Oryctolagus cuniculus: one gene and its partners. The protein of the gene in region 2 interacts with the protein of the main gene of each other region in a pairwise test. Links are inferred from orthologs where the notes say so. Each region holds a gene or a part of one and is shown on either strand. Other genes may lie near its edges. The genes, in order: PLK1, TANK, IKBKG and HTT.

Region 1 (4,836 bases), on a different chromosome or scaffold from region 2:
ACACCTGGCGTCCGGGAGCTGCTTTCCCCAGCAGCGACCTGCCCCAGGCTCCATTTAACCGGAACTCCCTTCCCCAGCAATCCCACGTCCCGTGCGCCCGCCCCTTTGCCTGCAGCTCCAGAGCTGGGCCCCCCAAGCCCAGGCCCCCCAGCAGCTCCAGCGCCTTGGCGATGCACTCACCCTGCGGCGGCAGAGCTCCAACACCACGAACACGAAGTCGCTGTCCTCGAAAAAGCCGTGGAAGCCGACGACGTGCTGGTGGGCCAGGCTGCGGTGAATGGAGATCTCCATGGACATTTTCTCCTTCTGGTGCGGCTTGAGCAGCAGAGACTTGGGCACGATCTTGCCGGCGAACACCTCCTTGGTGTCCGCATCGGAGATCTCGAAGCATTTGGCGAAGCCGCCCTTGCCCAGAAAGCGGCCCCGCACATAGCGCCGCCGGCTGCGTGGGTCCACCAGGACCTCGGGGATCTCTTTGGCCGGCGGAGCAGCTGCCGGTGCTCCGGGAGCTGCCACTCCGGGGCCGCCAGCCTTCCCTGGGTCGGCCGGCGCCCGCGCCAGCTTTGCTGCACTCAGCGCTGCACTCATGCTCCCGGGGCTGCTCGGCGGACCTGGCAGGGTCGGGGCAGAGGCTCTGCACCGCACTGCTCCTCCCCGAATTCAAACGCGGCGCTGGGAACGTTACAACAGCCTGCGCGCCACTGATTGGCCGCGGGGATTTAAAATCCAAACCCGCCCGCCGCGCGGGACCATGGGAGCGCTCCGCACCGCCCGCCCGTCAGCCCGGACCCGGGCAGGAAAACACTTGATTGACAGCAAGGCGCCGACGGTAGACACGTGGGCTCTCCTGGGAAAGCGTCCCCGGCCTGGGGAGGCCGAGCCCCAGCCCCGGGTAGAGGGGAATTCGTTCAGGGCTTCTCCCTTACTGGGGAGCCGGGCCGCTCCTGCGGTTCACACGCTCCCTCGGGCAAGTTTTTCCCAAGAGTAGAGACCCCGCAGCGCCTAGAGGCAGTTTAAGAGAGCCACAGCTGACCTGCAGGGCAGCCGCCTGCCTGCCCCGGGCCCTCGGGCGAGCCACCCCGAATAAACTGGAATCTAAGTGAAAGCAGGCACCTTCACGGGACGCCTCTGGTCCCCTCCAGGGCTCTGCATTACACAGCAACGCCGCTCAAAGCACCGTCCAGGAGCCAGCAGCATCACCATCACCTGGAGCTTCAGGCCTGCTCCAGCTCTCCCAGGTCAGAATCTGCCCAGGTGATTCCTACACACACTGGAGCCCGCTACGGGACGCGGGAAAGCTGCCTGGCTCGCCTTCCCAAGTGCCTAAAATAGAGGACGCGGGAGAGGGAGGCTGGCTGGGAGAATGCCTAGAGACGGGCAGGTCACAGCCACAGCTGAGCTGCAGGCTGTTTGGTGTGGTTTTCCACTTTGAAAATTTGAATTCATTCACAGCAAAGAGAGCTCAAGCTGGGCTTGGGGACACTTGCATTCCCTGTCAAAGTGCCTGGCTTCAAGTCCCACCTCTGCTTCAGTCCAGCTTCCCGCTAATGCACACCCTGGGAGGCCACAGGTCACCGCTCAGCTACTTGAGTCCCTGGCTTCTGGCTCTGGCTTGGCCTAGCTCTGGCTGTTGTGGACATGCGGGGAGTGAACAGAGGATAGAGAATCTCTCTTTCTCTCTCTCTGCCTTTCAAATTAGGCAAAATAAATACAGTTACAAAAAAAAATAAATAAAGGTGGCTCACACAAAAATTCAGATTTGTGGCTTTTTCTGAAATAATCCGAGGTGCCAACCACTCTGGACTGACCAACCCTCCCAGTCTGCCACAGCACCCAGCTCCCGCCTGCGCCCATTCCGAAGGCCCTTGACTGACAACCCTGGGACAGCAGAACACGAAGGTGGACGGTCTCTGAGTAGCGACAATCAGAGCACAAGCTCCTCCTGACCAGGCCCCCACTTAGGCTGGTGCAACGAAGACAGCACCTCATGCCAACTGGCAGTGCAGCATGCGTGGCTGGTGCGGGTATTACCGAAATGGTTGCTGAGTAAAAGCAAGGGTTTTTGCTTTTAATCATCATTTTTTTAAAAATCCCCATCAAGTGTACTCTATTTTAGCTTTTCACTAATATTTGGAAGACTCCACAGGACAATTTTCACATCCTAGCGGCACATTTTCACAAACTGTAAACATGCCCCATGTAAACAACACTCAGACTGAGAACGAGAACCCCACCAACACCCAAGAAGCCCTCCTTGTGCCCTAACCACCCCTCAGTTAGATGATTCACTAGGACAGTCGCAGGACGGAGCACACACTTGAACTCACAGCTGTGAGTTAGTTCAGCGAAAGGCTAGGAATAAAAGCAGCAAAGGAAAAAGACACACGGAGCGAAGTCCAGAGGAACCCAGGTGTGAGTTTCCCAGTCATTTCCCAGCGTAGTCACAAAGGACACCCTGACTTCTTCCAGCAATGAGTTGGGACTACCTACAATTTTCACTGGGTGCTGGTCATGATGTTGGCCTCTGCCTAACACCTATCAGAACTCCAGACTCTCAGGAGAAGCAGGTGTACGGCACGCAGGAGCGGTGAGAACCTACCTGAAATCTAAGCTCCCAGACAGCAGCCCAGGGTCAACCTTGCAAACAGACCTTCGGAAGGGGAGCCAGCCGCAGCCTGCTCCGTTAATGCTTATCACCTCTCTATTAACTTCTGCACCACTCACCCTCTGGGCTGAGGCTTCTTCACAGAAAAATTACCAGTAAGACTGCGTGTGAAGAGGCAAGACCGTCCTGCACTGTGGTTTCAGTCACGCCTGCTACGGGTCTGAAGTTTAGCCGGTTCCCATCACTCCCATAACTGCAGAAGTCCATCTCAGAAAGCCAGGTGGCCTCCGCCTTGGGTGATGTAAACCATGCTAACTGACCTGAGGCGTCAGTTCAGGCACGGCAGGACTCTGGCCAGCAGGTTGAAGCCCTTCCAGGGCTGGTGCAGGGTCAGGGCAGTCAGGGTCACATAGACAAGTACAACCCCAGAGGCCCAGGTGGCACCCCTGGATACAACGCCTTTACAAAATGAGGGCAGGACATAAATCAGGCACAACAGGTTAACAAGGGGCCCCCCTGTGGACTCCTACCATGTTTTCAGGCCCATCAGAAAAGTTCCCAGAGTGCTTGGTTTCTGAGGAACTTCCTGAAGGCAGTGAGTCCCAGTTTTGCCTGTTCACGACACAAGTTTATCCTACTCGTCAGTGTGGATGGCAAGCGAAGGTGTTTGGTATACAAAGTGCTGGAGCCCTCCCCTCCCCCACTGTCCGCCGTCTGAACCCCAAGCACTCCAACAGGTGGAAAGGCAGCGCGGGGAACTTACCCTTCAGGAAGAGGGGAAGGTTTTCAGGAATAGTTCTCAAGAACAAGTATCAGGCCTCCTCAGGTGCCAGGTTTTTATTTCTCCAATGTTACAAAATTAGTCCTCTTCAACAATCCTAACTTTACATTCTTTCAATCATTTTTTAGGCCTTTTGTATGGAAGAGTTGTATACAGGAGGTACAAAGACAGCTTTGCAGATACAGATCTGTACACAACGTAATAGAAAGACACAGTCAGGAGCTTGTAAGGATGCTATGGGGTGTATCCCCCAAAATCCACTTGTTGAAGCCCTAATCACTGGTACTTCAGAATGCGACTGTGTTTGGAGATAGGCTTTTAGAGCGGAGATGAAGTTGAAATGGGGTTGTTAGGGTGGGCACTAATCCAATAGGACTGGTGGCCTTATAGAAAGGGGTGATAAGACGCAGAGACACACACACAGAGGGACTCTGGGAGGACACAGCAGGAAGGCAGCCATCTGTGAGCCGGGGAGAGAGGCTTCAGGAAAAATCAAACCTGTTGTCACCTTGCTCTTGGACCCCCAGCCTCCAGAATAGTAAGAAAATAAATTCCTATTGTTTACGCCACTCAGTTTCTGGTATTTCATTACGGTAACCCTAGCAGACTAGTAGAGGATAAAATTCTAAATTTTCAGAAATTTACAAATTAGTGTATATCACTGTCCTCTGTTTTTGTCCTGTCTACCCAATGTACAGGCTGGAAAAGACCAAGCCCTTTCTGGGGACAGTAACATTTTATCAACCTACCTCATTTGGCTGTGTGTACTCGAGAAAAGTGAAGGGAAGCAGAGTTAGACTATCAGGTAATGTCGTGAGCTGCAACTAATCCCGAAAGCTGAGCCTGAGCCAACAAACAGCAGCACTGTCGAAGCAGGCACAAAGGTGACAGTCTCAGTGACGTGCCTTTCCCAGCTGGTGACTTTCAGCACAGATCTGACTTCAGGAATGCAATCAGCCTCTGCAGCAGAGACAGCAGCTGATCAGCAGTTTGATTGTAGGCGTTCCTGTCAGAGAAGCCCCTTCCTGTGGGCACTTGTGTGCCAAGCAGATGGTTCAGCCAGCATCCAGATGTCTTCAGATTCAGGGCCCCATGGAGGGGGCCCTAAATCACCAGTGGTCCCAGGGTCTGAGTCCTGTTCATTGAGCTGGCGCCTGCTTTCAGCTCAGCATAGCTCATTTGTGGCTCAAACAGCTGACAATATGGGGCCAGTGCTGTGGCATAGCGGGTAAAGCCGCCGCCTGCAGTGCCAGCATCCCATACAGGCACTGGTTTGAGACCGGCTGCTCCACTTCTGATCCAGCTCTCTGCTGTGGCCTGGGAAAGTAGTGGAAGATGGCCCAAGTCCTTGGGCCCCTGCACCCACGTGGGAGACCTGGAAGAAGCTCCTGGCTCCTGATCGGCGCTGCTCTGGCCGTTGTGGCCATCTGGGGAATGAACCAGAGGATGG
Region 2 (4,920 bases):
TACCTTAAATGACTCCTGGTCAAAGAAGAAGTAAAGCTGTAAAATAATGCTAACATAAATATAGCATATCGTATGTTGTAAGATATAGTTAAAATGATACTAACCTTAAATATTTTCATTACAAAACAAAAAATAAAAATAAAAATAAAAATAAATGAACCAGACATTGATTTGAAAAACTGTGAAAAGTAAAATAGTCCAAAAACAGCTTTAAGAAAATATTAATAATGATTAAACAAAGATAAATGATTTAAAAAACAAAGCCTACTATAAAATCGGTACATCCCAAAGGTGAGCTCTGTGACAAGTCCAATTAGGGGAAAAAAATAAAGCATAAATGGACAAAGGAGTAATGAAAAAAGATTATCCAAAAAGTTATAGAGGTGATTCAAATGTGTGAGAATACCAGGTATGACAACAATTTGAAAAATTTGATTAAAAGAATAACTTTAAGTAAAAAATATTACTTAAGCCAGAATAAATCAATAATAGTAGAAAATATTAGAAAAACTTTTTAAAAATTGCTTCCAAAATGATGCCAAGGCCAATGGTGTTATCAATTTGTTCTTTAAGTATTTCAGGGAACAGATAACATATTAAACTTTTTCAGAATATGAAGCATTGTGTTATTTTACCTTATAAAGCTGGCCTAAATCTTTAATACTAAAAATCTATTAATTATAATTTCCAGAATAATAAAAATACACATTAATATCACTTATAAATGGGAATGTAGAAGTTCTCAGTAAATAACCAATCTTTATTTTTTGGAATGTATTTTCTTCATATGAATTGGATATAAGATTAACTAGTTTGAATGTGCATTTTGCTTACAATTACTTGTTATAACTGAATTGTTGTCTGCAGCTAGCACTGTCATAAAAGGAAAGATTTTTGCATAAAGCATCGAAACATCTGCTTTGAATTATTTGGTTGCTCTGCCTGGATAGGGTTCTTGGCTTATGCTACATCGTTTTTGCTCTTTTCTGCTAGTTTGAGTTCTAAGTTGAATTGTGAAGCCAAAATTATAGAGGAGAGGTGTCTAAGCATGTGGATTAAAGAGAAAAAAGTGGAAATCTGTAGGTTTAGTTTGGTTTCTTTTGATCAACTAATTATTTTAATCAGAGTAACATAATATAGTGTATAACTATAATCCTATCTTTATTACTGAAGCATTATAACATGATTTTTGATCACAAGATTTTTTAAAAAAAATGTAATTGCTATACTGTGTGTAACAGCACAATACTATATGCAGTAGAAAAATCATGCAGTTCTCTTTAATGAAACCAAAACCATATTAGACATAGATTAACATGAAGTGTTGATTTTTTTCTTTAATATGCCTGTAGTGAACTATGACATTTGGTAGTTTTTTGGTATTTATGATAAATGTATTTGTCCCAGACCAATAGCCAACATCATTCTTAGTGTTAACTGCAAGGGAAATTCCCACTGAGATCAGGAACAAGACAAGGTTGACTGACTGTTCTTTCTTCTGTTATTAAACACTGTTCTAGAAGTTCTGGCCAATGTGGTGACAAGAAAAAAGAAAGGAGACATATTTTTCTAACTAGATATCATATTTATGAATTACATAAAATAGTTTACAACAGATAGGGGGTCAAAATGACTGAAAGATAAAATTTTGAAATCAATATGACAGCAGTTATTTGAAAATACGGTGCAAAGAATATCAAGATAGTGCCTATACTATTGATATACAAGGAAGAAGCTAAAACAAAATCGATTGGAATACATTTTACAACAAAGAACCTTATGTTCACTGAGGCCTTAATACATTCAGAGACCTGGAAGTTCACCAGCAGGAAGGTTCTATATTAGTGGGTTGAGTATTTCCCTCAAATTAGGATAGAAATTTTATGAAATTCTCACCAGAACTTTTTCAAGGGTACTTAACAGACTTATTTTGAATTATCCAGTTAGCCATCTCTTTCATGGTCATAAATGTTTAAGAGAAATAACTGGACTTTATTCTAGGCCCCAGTAGGCAGCTAGACAAGTACCTCAGGCAGGTTGGACTAGGTATACAGCCCCAAGTCCTGCCCTGATTCTGAAGCTTATTGCATGGAGGCATTCCAGTGTGTCTGTCATGCGGTGTAAAGTGTACCCTGGAGAGAGTGTGGAGATGTGCTGGCCAAGTGACAAGGGAGACCTCGCTGCTAGGAATGATGTGGTTGCTCTGTGAACTCAGTGAAGTCATTTGCCTTTTTTCTCCATCCTGCTGCAAGATAACCTTCAAATATTGTTTTAATGTTGTAAAAAGGAAGGGCAGGGTAATGAATAAAAAGCCATGGAAAAAGAAGTGGTACGAATTTATATTTGAGCTCTTGCTCTAGACGACCCTGTGATCATTTTCGTCCAGTAGGCATGCCATGTGGCAGCTGTTAATGTAGCAACAGTGACAATGGTTCTTGATATTTAATTTTTTTGATCTGTCAATTTTTCCTAGGATTATTCTTAAGAAAATAGTACATCACCTCTAATATTCATGTTTGATCAGGAAAATAAAAAGGCCAGTTGGTAAGAAAATAAGACTAGATTACTATAATTGTGTTAGCTTAAATGTTCTAAGATAGGAAATACAGGGTTGTCTGTAAGCTTAATACTTTAGTGTGATGAAATGGGTTTCTAATGAAATGGAAAAATATTAAATGTAACTTAATTTTGAATACATATACTGGATCTGATTGGAATTGATTTTTAAAATATAACAAAAAGTATGAATACATATAATATTAATTTACAACCTACTAAACCATATACAATTTAATTTAGGCCAAGTATCTCTCAGTCTTATATTATGCAATAAAAAATCGCTCAGTGTAGAAGACTTATATTCCAGATATAAATTTAAACAATTATTTGAAGTAGAGGCATAAATTATATCTTAATAGTTAGAAAAGAATCAAATTTCCTTGGATCTTCGCTAGGGACCCAACTTTTAAAGGGCAATTTCTAACTATGACAATGAATACAAGGACATTACTGAATCATATAATAAAGTATTCACTTAGAAAAAGCAACAGTGGAACAAATATGCAACACTACAGTTATAGACATTCAGGCCACTTTGGTAGGCTGAGAATCTAAGAACTGCTAAAATTCGATTACCTCTTCTCCAGGTCACAATCTTCCTTCACAGACTATTCCTCTTTAAAGATGAAGGCAAGACTGGAAGTTTTTTTCCACAAGCTCTACCAATGCTGCCCAAACTGTCCTGAGCTCTCCCTTGTGTTGAACTGGGAACTTCCACTGAGAAATCCCCTGACTAGAAGACTTCCTTATTTGTAGCTACCAGCAGCCAATCATAGCAAGATATTGAAATGAAGAAAAGACTACCAGAAAATATTCTGTAAACCACCCGTGACTGTAGCTCTGACTTCCTTTTGAAGCAGAGATACTTTAGTTGAATAGTTAAGGTGTTTTAACAAAAAGTCAGAAATTATAAACTCAAAATAGTGTATTAGCATATTTTCATGTAAGAACATTTGAAAGGAAGTTTATTTGATAAATGAATTAATAGACTTTAAGAAGTCACTTTTTCACCTAAGCAGTCTATTTATAAATAGCAGGGAAAGATCAAATTTGAGTATAGATGTCTGCTTTAGGGCTATAGATGAAGACGAAGACTAGTTTAATAATGATTTTTGCTGCATTTCCAAGACTGATCCCAGGTACTCAGAACAGGAGTAAAACAAAGCCTCTTGAAACAGCTTCTCTGCTTTGAGAACTAGGGCCTGCTCTTTGTGTGGACGAGTGTGTATTACAGCACACTGGAGAAATGCTTCACAAATGCGTGCATTTCTCTGAGGCTACTTGGAGCAAAACATCAAGTTTTATGTGCAAATGGAAGGCAGCATATGCACCACAGACATTTTTCTTTGTTATAAAATTTTAGGGCTGGAAATGTCCTTTGACGCCATCTGTTCCATTTCCTTTTTATTACAGATGAGGAAACAGAGGGTAAATGCTCAATGTCAAAAAGGAAGTTAGAAGTAGCACTCAGATTAAATTCTGAGTCTTTTGAATCCAAGTGCTTTCTTTTTTTCTTTCTCTTTCTTTCTTAACTGTACTATACTCTTGGTGTATCAAATTACTGAACTGAAAATAGACTAGCAAAATGAGCTGTCTCCTTGTTTAGCTCCTGCATTTTTGTAGATGAGGTTGAGGCCATACTCAAAGTTCCACAATTAGTAAAAGGACTATAATATAGAACTTCTGACTCTTGGTCAGAAGTTTCTTTTCTACTCCTCTACTTTTAAAGCACTGCCTTCTCTTAAACTTACATGTTAAATAAGACTGATATTTTGCTTCTTATGATAAAATAATTTTGAAAGTGTCCTAAACACTGAGTAAGCTTATGAGTAAAACATTCCATATATTCATCTAACATAAAGTAAAACATTACATTTCCTTTAACAATATGTGCTTTATAACTGTTGTACTGATAAAATATCAAGCACAGCATGTCCTTTGGTGCTATGGCAAAATAAAACCTATTTAATAGAATAAAAATAGCAAAAAGAAAACAATAAAAAAGTGAGATAGTCACTGGTGAAAAGAGAACTTCTCAAGAATTTACATTTCTGGCAGGATACACAGCAGACTCATAGAATGGCAAAAGCCCAAAACAACACTCTGGCCTCAGAATCAGCCCTTAAGGCATTTGGATCTGGCTAAAAAGCCCATAAGAGTTTCACAGGCATGGAAAGCCAAGACACTGTGGCAAAAAAAAAAAAAAAAAAAACAAAAAAAAACAAACACCTAAATGAAAGATCTCTGTGAGTGAGATCCCTGCAGAAAGAATGGGCCATCAAAGAAGGCAGTACCTTTCTCTGAAGGGAGGAGAGAACTTCCACTTTGACTGTGGCCTTGTCTAAATAAGATTGGAGTTGG
Region 3 (5,001 bases), on a different chromosome or scaffold from region 2:
CAGTTCGGTCCTCCCCCGCCTACATCTCTGGTGTCTTCAGGATCAAGGGGTCCTAACACAGCTGCATACTCGGGATGGCCACGAAAGCAGACTTCACTGTGGCCTTGCTGGCTTTGATGGGGCAAGGTAGGTGCCTGTCTAAGCTTCAGTGCCTGCCTCTGCGTATTCGACAGGGACAAGAACACCTGCCCTCTAAGCAGCAGCAGCAGACACAGTGTTTGTGCAGAAACTCAAAAAAGAGCAGTCTTTGGCCGGCGCCGCGGCTCACTAGGCTAATCCTCCGCCTAGCGGCGCCGGCACACCGGGTTCTAGTCCCGGTCGGGGCGCCGGATTCTGTCCCAGTTGCCCCTCTTCCAGGCCAGCCCTCTGCTGTGGCCAGGGAGTGCAGTGGAGGATGGCCCAGGTGCTTGGGCCCTGCACCCCATGGGGAGACCAGGAAAAGCACCTGGCTCCTGGCTCCTGCCATCGGATCAGCGCGGTGCGCCGGCCGCAGCGCACCGGCCGTGGCGGCCATTGGAGGGTGAACCAACGGCAAAAGGAAGACCTTTCTCTCTGTCTCTCTCTCTCTCACTATCCACTCTGCCTGTCAATAAATAAATAAATAAATAAATAAATAAATAAGAGCAGTCTTCTTCTCGCCAGACTAAGCCATGAGCATATATCAGTGCCAGCGGCAGGTGGCTGGCAGAGGCCAGAGGAGAGGAAAGCCACATACCCAGCGACCACCCCAGGTAGAGGAAGAAGCATCTGACAAAAGCGATCAGTGACGTGCAAGGTTCTAGGGCAACCACAGAACCGTATCCAACAGAGGTAGACAGTAGTTTCACATCACTGAATGTTCCAAACCCTTGGCCATCACTGCTGCCTGCCCACTCAACCCGAGTCTCAACTTGTGTGCAATGTCTTTTAAATTTCTTTTTAGTGACGTAAAAATTCATGTAACATCAAATTCACCATTTTAACTATTTTAAAGTATAGTCATCCAGTGGTTTTTAGCTAATGAAGCTGTAAGATCATGCAACCATCAGCACTACCTAATTCCAGAACATTCCCAGCACCCCAGAAAGAAACCCCAAACCCAGCAGCATTCTCTCCCGTAGGCCCCCTGCCCGCACTCCTGGCGTCCACTCAACTGCTTTCTGTCTCTGAGACATGTCACGTGAATACAGGCAAGCTCTTCCGGGAAGTTTCTTCATAAACGTTCTGAGCAAACACTGTACCCTCCCTTGTTTGGTTTCACAGCCTACCTATAGACACAATCATGAGCACCTTGGGGGACAATCACCTTCAGGGCCCCGGGGGTCTCACATGCTGCCCCCCAAGCTTTATCCAGCTTCCCAGTTGGAGGCAATATAGCCTCAAGTCTCCACTTGCTGCCAGAGACTTAGCAAAGCTGTTGTGCTGAACACACAGTCTAGGAGGCAGAAGAGCCGAGCCACCACAGGCCATGGCATGAGCCCTGCACAACTGCTCTGAAATGCTCTGGGCCCCTAGGGATGAGCAGAGGCCCCGATCTGGCTGCCAGCTCTATGTGCATGACTTGTTCTGAAGACCCCAGCACAGTGGGTCCCACTCAAGGACAACTGTGACTCCCAGGGGACTGGAGGGGCACTATTGGCACCTGTGAGTAGAAGCCAGGGATACTGCTCACCATGCCACAATGGCTAGGACAGCCCTCACCACAGAGAATTAGCTGGCCCCAGAGGTCAACAGAACTGAGGTAGAAGACACTGCTGCTCTGTGCTCAAGACAGGGCCTCGGGGCCAGCGCCGTGGCATAGTGGGTAAAGCCGCCGTCTGCAGTGCCACCATCCCATATGGGCGCTGGTTCTAGACCCACTGCTCCACTTCCGATCTAGCTCTCTGCTATGGCCTGGGAAAGCAGAAGATGGCCCAAGTCCTCAGGCCCCTGCACCCGCATAGGAGACCCAGAAGAAGCTCCTGGCTCCCAGCTTGGGATCAGCACAGCTCTGGCCGTTGAGGCCATCTGCAGAGTGAACAAGCGGATGGAAGGCCTCTCTTTCTCTGTATGCCTCTGCCTCTCTGTAATTCTGCCTTTCAGATAAATAAATCTAAAAAAAAAAAAAAAAGGCGGGGCCTCTCCAATGCAACCTTCAAGGAAACCAAGCAGTCTCTTGGTGGCTAGCTGTCTCCTAGGAAGAGGACACACATTCCAGACCCAGGTCTGCTCCCTGCGTGCATGGCATCTGCCAGCACCACTCCCTGAGGCCACAGAGCACGTGACTCATCAGCAAAAGACCCTACATCACATCCAACACTCACTTAAGGAGGTGGGGAATGGGACTACAACTGTGGCAAGAGCCACTGGCCAACTAGGACATGAATGGCCAACTAAAGACACAACTGAGGCATCAGCTACCCCACTGCAGCAGGGGTCATGCCTCTCATGCTGGTCAACACCACCTCCTCTCAGGGTGGGCCACACCCACTTCCCAGGACAGGCCACAGCACCCCCCTCTCAAACAAGACCGCAACCCACCCCAGGAAAGTCTGAGTCCCCTCCCAGGGAAGAGGTCCTCTGAGGCTGGGCCACGCTGGTCCAGCCTGGAAGTGTCAGTCCAGCCCCAGAGTCCCTGGGGGTCAGCCAAGGCAGCCCACTTCTGCTGCCCACCCCTGCTTTCTCCCATCTCCTTCCCTTCTCTGCCTCAGTACTGACCCTGCCATGCACCTCGGTCTGCTCCCAGGGAACCCCGCCTGGAACCAGGAGGCAAGGTAGCTACGCTGGAAGCACAAGCTGGCTCTCGGGGTGCCCTCGCCCCACACCCAGCAGACGCAGAGGTGCACGAGAGAAGCCTTGCCTTCAGCAGGACCAGATCCCCTGACTTTGTGCCCCACCTACTTGCTGTCCACCTCACCTCGGAGCTCTTGGTTCTCCTCCAGACAGCGCTGGAGAGCGTCAGGAGCACCCTGCTCTGCGGGCAGATGCAGCATGGCCGGCTTCCCCAGAGAAGACTCTTCAGGCAGCACGTCCTGGTCCCCGGCCGGGCCGCCGCTGGGCTGCACCATCTCACACAGCTGGTTCTTCCAGGGCTGCCTGCTCATCCAAGGCACGCTCTTCGAGAAAGGCAGCAAAGGCATCCCATGAGACCCAGGGGAATTCTCATCCCCAGCAGGATAAGTACACTCTGTGCAGGAGCTCTGGGGCCATGAAGGCAAAATGCTGATCCCTCTGGCCGAAATGGGGTTTCGATCTAAGAGGTCACAAACACCCTCATTCCGAAGGAAGATGCTGAACCACCTCTGTGAGACTTGCACAGGCCATGGCTTAGCACTGGTTACGGACTCTGTACCAGCACCCATCTTCAGGATGCACACCTAAGGCAGGAACTTTGCCAGAGGCAGAAAACTAAGGATTATTGTAGCAGGAGACATCGGTGTGCGCTGGGACCCCTACCCTTACACAGACCCTCAAGCCGGAGGGGATGTTCCCTCCCAAGTACTGTAGGCTGCATGGTAGCCCCAAAACCTATAAATGCAACTTTATTTGGGAAAAGTATCTTTGCAGATGTAAACTAAGGGCCTTGATCAAAATGAGAGCTTGCTGGGTTATTCAGGTGGGCCTTAAATCCATTAACAAGTGTCTTTATAAAAGACAAAAGACAGAGGAAAACATGCAAGGAAGAAAGCCAGGTGAAAACAGTCAGAAGGGGCCAGCATTGTGGTGTAACGGGTTAAGCCACCATCCCATATAGGCACTGGTTCAAGGCCTGATTACTCCACTTCCAATCCAGCTCCCTGCTAATGCACCCAGGAAAGCAGCGGAAGATGGCTCAAGTGCTTGGGTCCCTGTACCCAAGTGCGAGACCCAAATGAAGTTCCTGGCTCCTGGTTTCAGCCTGGCCTGGCCCTGGCCATTGCAGCCATCTGGGGAGTGAAACGGCAGACAGAACATCTCTCTCTCTCCATCCTACCCTCTCTATCTGCCTTTCAAATAAATAAATCTTTTTTTAAAAAAAATGAAGCAGATAGTGGCCAGGGAGTGCAGTGGAGGATGGCCCAAGTCCTTGGGCCCTGCACCCCATGGGAGACCAGGAGAAGTACCTGGCTCCTGCCATCGGATCAGCGCGGTGCACCGGCCGCAGTGCGCCGGCCGCAGCGGCCATTGGAGGGTGAACCAACGGCAAAGGAAGACCTTTCTCTCTCTCTCTCTCTCTCTCACTGTGCACTCTGCCTGTCAAAAAAAAAAAGAAGCAGATAATAAAGAGATGTGGCCACATGCCAAGGAAAAATCAGAGCCACCAGAAGCTGGAAGAGACGAGAGAGAACCCTCTCCTCTCAGCCTCTGGGGCTGCAGTCCTGTCGACTTTTTGCTTTCCAACTACTGTCCTCCAGAACCACGAGATTACATTTCGGGTGCTTTAAGCCACCAAGCTTGTGGTCACTGCCTACAGCAGTCCTCACAGACCTAGCAAGAGGGGCTCTGAGTCCACTAACAGTCTAACAAGTGTAGCCCCTGGAGTCAGATATGCGCTGAGGAATCTTCAAAGTGGGAGCTGGCCTGACACAGTTGAGGAAGAAGACAGGCTGAGCCGCCTGTGTTTTCTTAGAAACCAGAGCTGGTGCGTGGGGAACAGCACCAACCCCAGGACCTTTTAAATCCTGCCAAGAAGACCGAGCACCAGGAGGAAGTGGCCAACCCCAATGCAAGTCTCCAGAAGCAGGCTTGACATGAAGGAATGTCACTTTAACACCAAATAAACTTGGCCACTTGGACTATAACACTGATCTTGTCCCAGTGAATATCCGCTGACCTAACCCTCTTCCTCCACACAGTTTCCTTCCCTGGCTTCCAGAACAGCCAGCCCATTCTCCCAGTTTCCTGTCTACCTTACTGGCCGCTCCTACTCAGGCTGCTTCTCTGGGATGCCACCCCCTTCATCTTGGGATGCTCCACGACTCTGTCCTGGGCACTTCTGCTCTTCCTGAACTCCATTCTTTCCCAGGCAACTTTCCATGAGGCCTCTTGGTTTTAACCTCTAGT
Region 4 (4,306 bases), on a different chromosome or scaffold from region 2:
AAAAATTTAAAAAGCAAAATGTGTAGCTTGTTAGAAAACAGCTAAATTCACATGTCTGCTCTTGGCTCAGTTTATAATACCACGTAAGCACTGCAGACTTCGGTCATACACTGGGGAAATTGAGGTCGGGGAGAGGCAACTGGTCAGCATTGCTGTGGGCATAGTTTGGTCCTTGGCAGTCACCTGGAGGGTCTCAGCTATACCAGGCTTCCCGGGCCACTTCAGAGCCTCAGCCCCCGCCCCCACCCACTCCTGCAGAATAGGGTGCCCATGATTGAGTTCTGATTTTAGGTGTAATGTTAGGAGTAGAACCTTAGAGAAGGGGCCAGCATTGTGGCATAGCAGATAAGCTGCTGGCGTCCCTATGATGCTGGTTCATGTCCCAGCTGCTCCAGTTCTGATCCAGCTCCCTGCTGATGGCCTGGGGAAAGCAATGGAACATGGCCCTAATACTTGGACTCCTGCCACCCACGTGGGAGACCTGCAAGAAGCCTCTGGCTCCTGGCTTTGGCCTGGCCCAGCCCCAGTCATTGTGGCCATCTGGGGAATGAACCAGCGGATGGAAGATCTTTTTCTCCCTCTCTCTGTCTCTTCTGTATGTTAACTCTGACTTCCAAATAATAAATAAATCTTTAAAAAAAAAAAATAGAGAAAGAGGGTGTTGGAAGCTCACCTGAAAAAAACCACACTTACTTCTCAACAAGTAGTTGTCCGCCTGACTCCTCCTGTGTGGTGGTGAGGTCCTATCCTTGGGAGCCATCACAGAAGTAGCCCTTTCACTGTTCCCATGTGGGCGCTGGCTGTGCCAGGGCTGCCCTCTGGGGCAGGCGTGGGTGCCAGTGACGGGGTTTTCTTCATGTTCTGTGTTTAGGTTTTGTTTTTAGAGTGTCTGGGTTGAAGTCCCAGAACTCCACTTTTTTTTTTTTTTAACTTACTTGACAGGTAGAGTTAGATAGTGAGAGAGAGACAGAGAGAAAGGTCTTCCTTCCGCTGGTTCACCCCACAAATGGCCACTATGGCTGGCGCTGTGCCATCCAAAACCAGGAGCCAGGTGCTTCTTCCTGGTCATCCATGCCGGTGCAGGGCCCAAGCACTTGGGCCATCCTCCACTGCCCTCCCGGGCCACAGCAGAGCGCTGACTAGAAGAGGAGCAGCCAGGACTAGAACCCAGTGCCCATATGGGATGCCCGTGCTGCAGACAGAAGATTAACCAAGTGAGCCACGGCGCCGGCCCCCGTGTTAGGTTTTTAGGTTCTCGGTTGGGGTTCCTGTGCATTCCCGCACCTCACCTGTGAGCGTTCGAAGGTAGCCTGTCGTCGCTGGCGCGTCGGGCCGCACCGCCTGCCTTTCTGATTGCGTAGTCTTCCCTTCCTCCCCGACACTCCCCCTCCAGCTTCTTGTGGTCTCAGACCTGTTCACTGAACGCAACCAGTTTGAGATGATGTATGCGACGCTGACCGAGCTGCGGAGGGTGCACCCTTCGGAAGACGAGATTCTCATCCAGTACCTGGTGCCTGCCACCTGCAAGGCAGCTGCTGTCCTCGGCATGGTGAGTGGCACGCCCTGCTGCCGGTTCCCCGGCTAGTCTTCAGCTCAGAGCATCCAGTTCTGCTGCTGCCGTTCCACACTCCTCACAGAGATGGTCCCTGCAGCCGCACGACGGCCTCTCCACGGTCTGCCGGTGGCCCAGTGCACGCCCAGTCCCTCTGTGCCGCTTGCGTTTGCCACAGCGGCCTGCATTCCTGCTCCCAGGTCTGGGCACTGTGACGTGTTGTTGGCGCCAGGGCCAACTGGGTGTTGAGCTGCTGGGGCAAAGCCTCTTGGCCTGGATGGCTCACAGCCAGCCCGTGAGCACGACACGAGCAGGTTCTGTGCACAGTGAGGGGCGCTGCTTGCCGTGTCCCTGGGGTGGCATGAGCCCACCCGCGGAGTGCTGTCACACTGGGAGTTGGTTTTCAGCCTGCGAGTTGGGGGCGGGAGGTGGGGCACAAGCATTCGGGCCCTAGCAAGGGTCAGATGGTGTCTTCCGGTTCCTCCTTACTCTGCCTTGAGCTCATCGGTGCTTACGGCACCAGATCCTGTGCCTGTGTCACCATGGGAAGGCTGCCAGCCACACACGTCAGCTATACGCACCACTAACCATGAGTGCCGTCAGTCCTTACAACACTGTAAGGCACTCGTGTTCTGTGGCCACTTCAGTACTGTGTGTGTCAGCATTTAGGCCTCTGGTGGGGGCTTGAGGGTACCTGGCTACCCCGTGTTCCACGCGTTTTCCTCTGTGTGACAGCAGGAACATTGCCGCTCCTGCTATGCCCGCACCCCTGGCCTCGTCTACATCTGAAAGGCAGCCTGAGAAAGCAGAGGTCGGAGGTTAGCTGACTTGTGCCAGGTCGCACAGGATGGGGGCTCGCCCTGTTGCCCACTGCTCCCTCCTGGGGTCTGTCCCGGCAGAGCCTGGGTGCTGGAGCAGGTAGGGTGTCGTGGGTGGCCTTCAGCCTGCTGCCGTGCCAGTGACTCAGAGCCACGCAGGGAGCAGAGACAATGGGTGTGGGTCTCCTGGTGTGAACATGTTCTTCAAAGTCAGTGCCTCTGGGTGCTGCCTGAATGATGGCAAAGCAGCTCCCTGGAAGGGGCCTTTTTTCTCTGTGGGGAGTTCCAGTGGCTGGCTTAACTTTTCATTGTCACTGTGTTTTGTGCTAGACCCAGAGCCCCCAGGCAAATGTAAATCAAATAAATGAAATAAGAAATAACAATTTTCTAGAGAGATCCTGAGGCAGAAAGGCGCCTGGACCCTGCTTCTGAGTTCTGTGCACACAGCTTTTCCCTGGAAGATGGCCATCTTCTGTGAGGGTCTGCAGCGTGCCGTCCTCAGCCCCGGCAGGGACACCCGCGTGGTGGCAGCGGGCCGTGTTTTCAGCAGTGGGGCTGAGGAGTCGGGCAGGCCCAGCCCAGGGGTGAAGCAGGGAGCGTCTCCTTCTGCCTGAGGCTTGGGACGCAGAATTCCCACAGAAAGCTGGATGGCCACGGCCTCTCGTCAAGACAAGGTGTCAGCCAGCAGCAGCCACTCTGCGTGGAAACGGTGTGGAGAACCTGGTGTTGCAGCACGCCCACCACTGCCTGCGACTGTTACAGAGCACAGTGCCGCGTGGGTCTCGGTGTGTACAGGACCCGTTGTACTAGGACTCACAGGACTGAGCGAAATGGACCAAGGCAGCATCGAGTGCTGTCGAGAGTCCCCAAGATGACTCCATATTTTTGTTAGAAGGGATCACAGCTTAAATTCATTATAGGAAGGGGTTCAGAGCAGAGTCAGCAAAGAGAAAAGGCACAGGGCCAAAGTTCCAAGGAGACCGGCCGAGCTCCCAGAATCCTCTCCCAGTGGACTCTCCCAGCTCATGCTCAGTCCCCCAGCGAGACGTTCTGACAACACACAGGACATGCAGTCAGCCAGGGGAGCCCGGCAGGGACTCCGTGTGCGGGGTCTTCATGGGGGGCTGGTCGTGTGGGCACGCTCGGCCGGGCTCGTTCTAAACCTCAGACTCCCAGGACAGCAGGTGCAGCATGAGCCCCCTTGTCTGCACAGGCAGCCGAGGCCCGTGTGGGCAGTGGGCACCCTCCCAGAGCCAGCGAAGGGCTAACCTGGTGCGCAGGCCTCTCTCAGACAGCCAGGGGCTAACCTTGTGTGCAGGCTTCTCAGACAGCGAGGGGCTAACCTGGTGCACAGGCCTCTCTCAGACAGCGAGGGGCTAACCTGGTGCACAGGCCTCTCAGGCAGCGAGGGGCTAACCTTGTCACAGGCCAGCTCTCAGGGCTCTTCTGCATGCTGGACTTCTCTGGACATGAGGGCAGCCTCTTAGCTACAGGGCAGCCGGCCACTGGGCCAGCTGCTCCTGCTCCATCCTGGGCAACCTTGCCTGTGCTTGTTTGCAGGACAAGGCTGTGGCCGAGCCCGTCAGCCGCCTGCTGGAGACCACGCTCAGGAGCGGCCACCTGCCCAGCAGGATCGGAGCCCTGCACGGCGCCCTCTACGTGCTGGAGTGCGACCTCTTGGATGACACGGCGAAGCAGCTCATCCCCGTCATCAGCGACTATCTCCTCTCCAACCTCAAGGGCGTAGCCCAGTAAGTGGGCACCTGACGGGTGGGAGGGAGAAAGAGCTGGCCACAGGGCGGCAGGTAGCAGTGGGAACCCAGGCAGGCGCCCTGCTCCTGGCAACAGTGAGGCCCGGGAGATGTGGGTGCAGATGCTTGCCCGATGGAAGCTCTCGCGAGTGCCCCCGAGGAGGTGGCACTATCTCTGCTTTCCT

Evidence for each region.
Region 1: the proteins of TANK (region 2) and PLK1 interact in binary tests that used the Homo sapiens proteins (3 or more experiments, as listed by UniProt). The link is inferred for Oryctolagus cuniculus from reciprocal best matches to the Homo sapiens genes TANK and PLK1.
Region 3: the proteins of TANK (region 2) and IKBKG interact in binary tests that used the Homo sapiens proteins (3 or more experiments, as listed by UniProt). The link is inferred for Oryctolagus cuniculus from reciprocal best matches to the Homo sapiens genes TANK and IKBKG.
Region 4: the proteins of TANK (region 2) and HTT interact in binary tests that used the Homo sapiens proteins (3 or more experiments, as listed by UniProt). The link is inferred for Oryctolagus cuniculus from reciprocal best matches to the Homo sapiens genes TANK and HTT.

The regions. Positions count from the first base shown.
Region 1 is NC_091450.1:15,675,434-15,680,269, forward strand, and holds the start of PLK1 (serine/threonine-protein kinase PLK1), read right to left. Parts: upstream 3,287-4,836; 5' UTR 589-3,286; coding exon 181-588; intron 1-180. Other genes in the region: DCTN5 (dynactin subunit 5), read right to left, coding at 4,180-4,346. UniProt on the Homo sapiens protein: Serine/threonine-protein kinase that performs several important functions throughout M phase of the cell cycle, including the regulation of centrosome maturation and spindle assembly, the removal of cohesins from chromosome arms, the inactivation of anaphase-promoting complex/cyclosome (APC/C) inhibitors, and the regulation of mitotic exit and cytokinesis.
Region 2 is NC_091434.1:80,592,804-80,597,723, forward strand, and holds the start of TANK (TRAF family member-associated NF-kappa-B activator), read right to left. Parts: upstream 3,273-4,920; 5' UTR 3,136-3,272; intron 1-3,135.
Region 3 is NC_091453.1:132,763,217-132,768,217, reverse strand, and holds the start of IKBKG (NF-kappa-B essential modulator), read right to left. Parts: upstream 3,063-5,001; coding exon 2,876-3,062; intron 1-2,875. UniProt on the Homo sapiens protein: Regulatory subunit of the IKK core complex which phosphorylates inhibitors of NF-kappa-B thus leading to the dissociation of the inhibitor/NF-kappa-B complex and ultimately the degradation of the inhibitor.
Region 4 is NC_091433.1:1,886,321-1,890,626, forward strand, and holds part of HTT (huntingtin), read left to right. Parts: intron 1-1,393; coding exon 1,394-1,549; intron 1,550-3,930; coding exon 3,931-4,121; intron 4,122-4,306.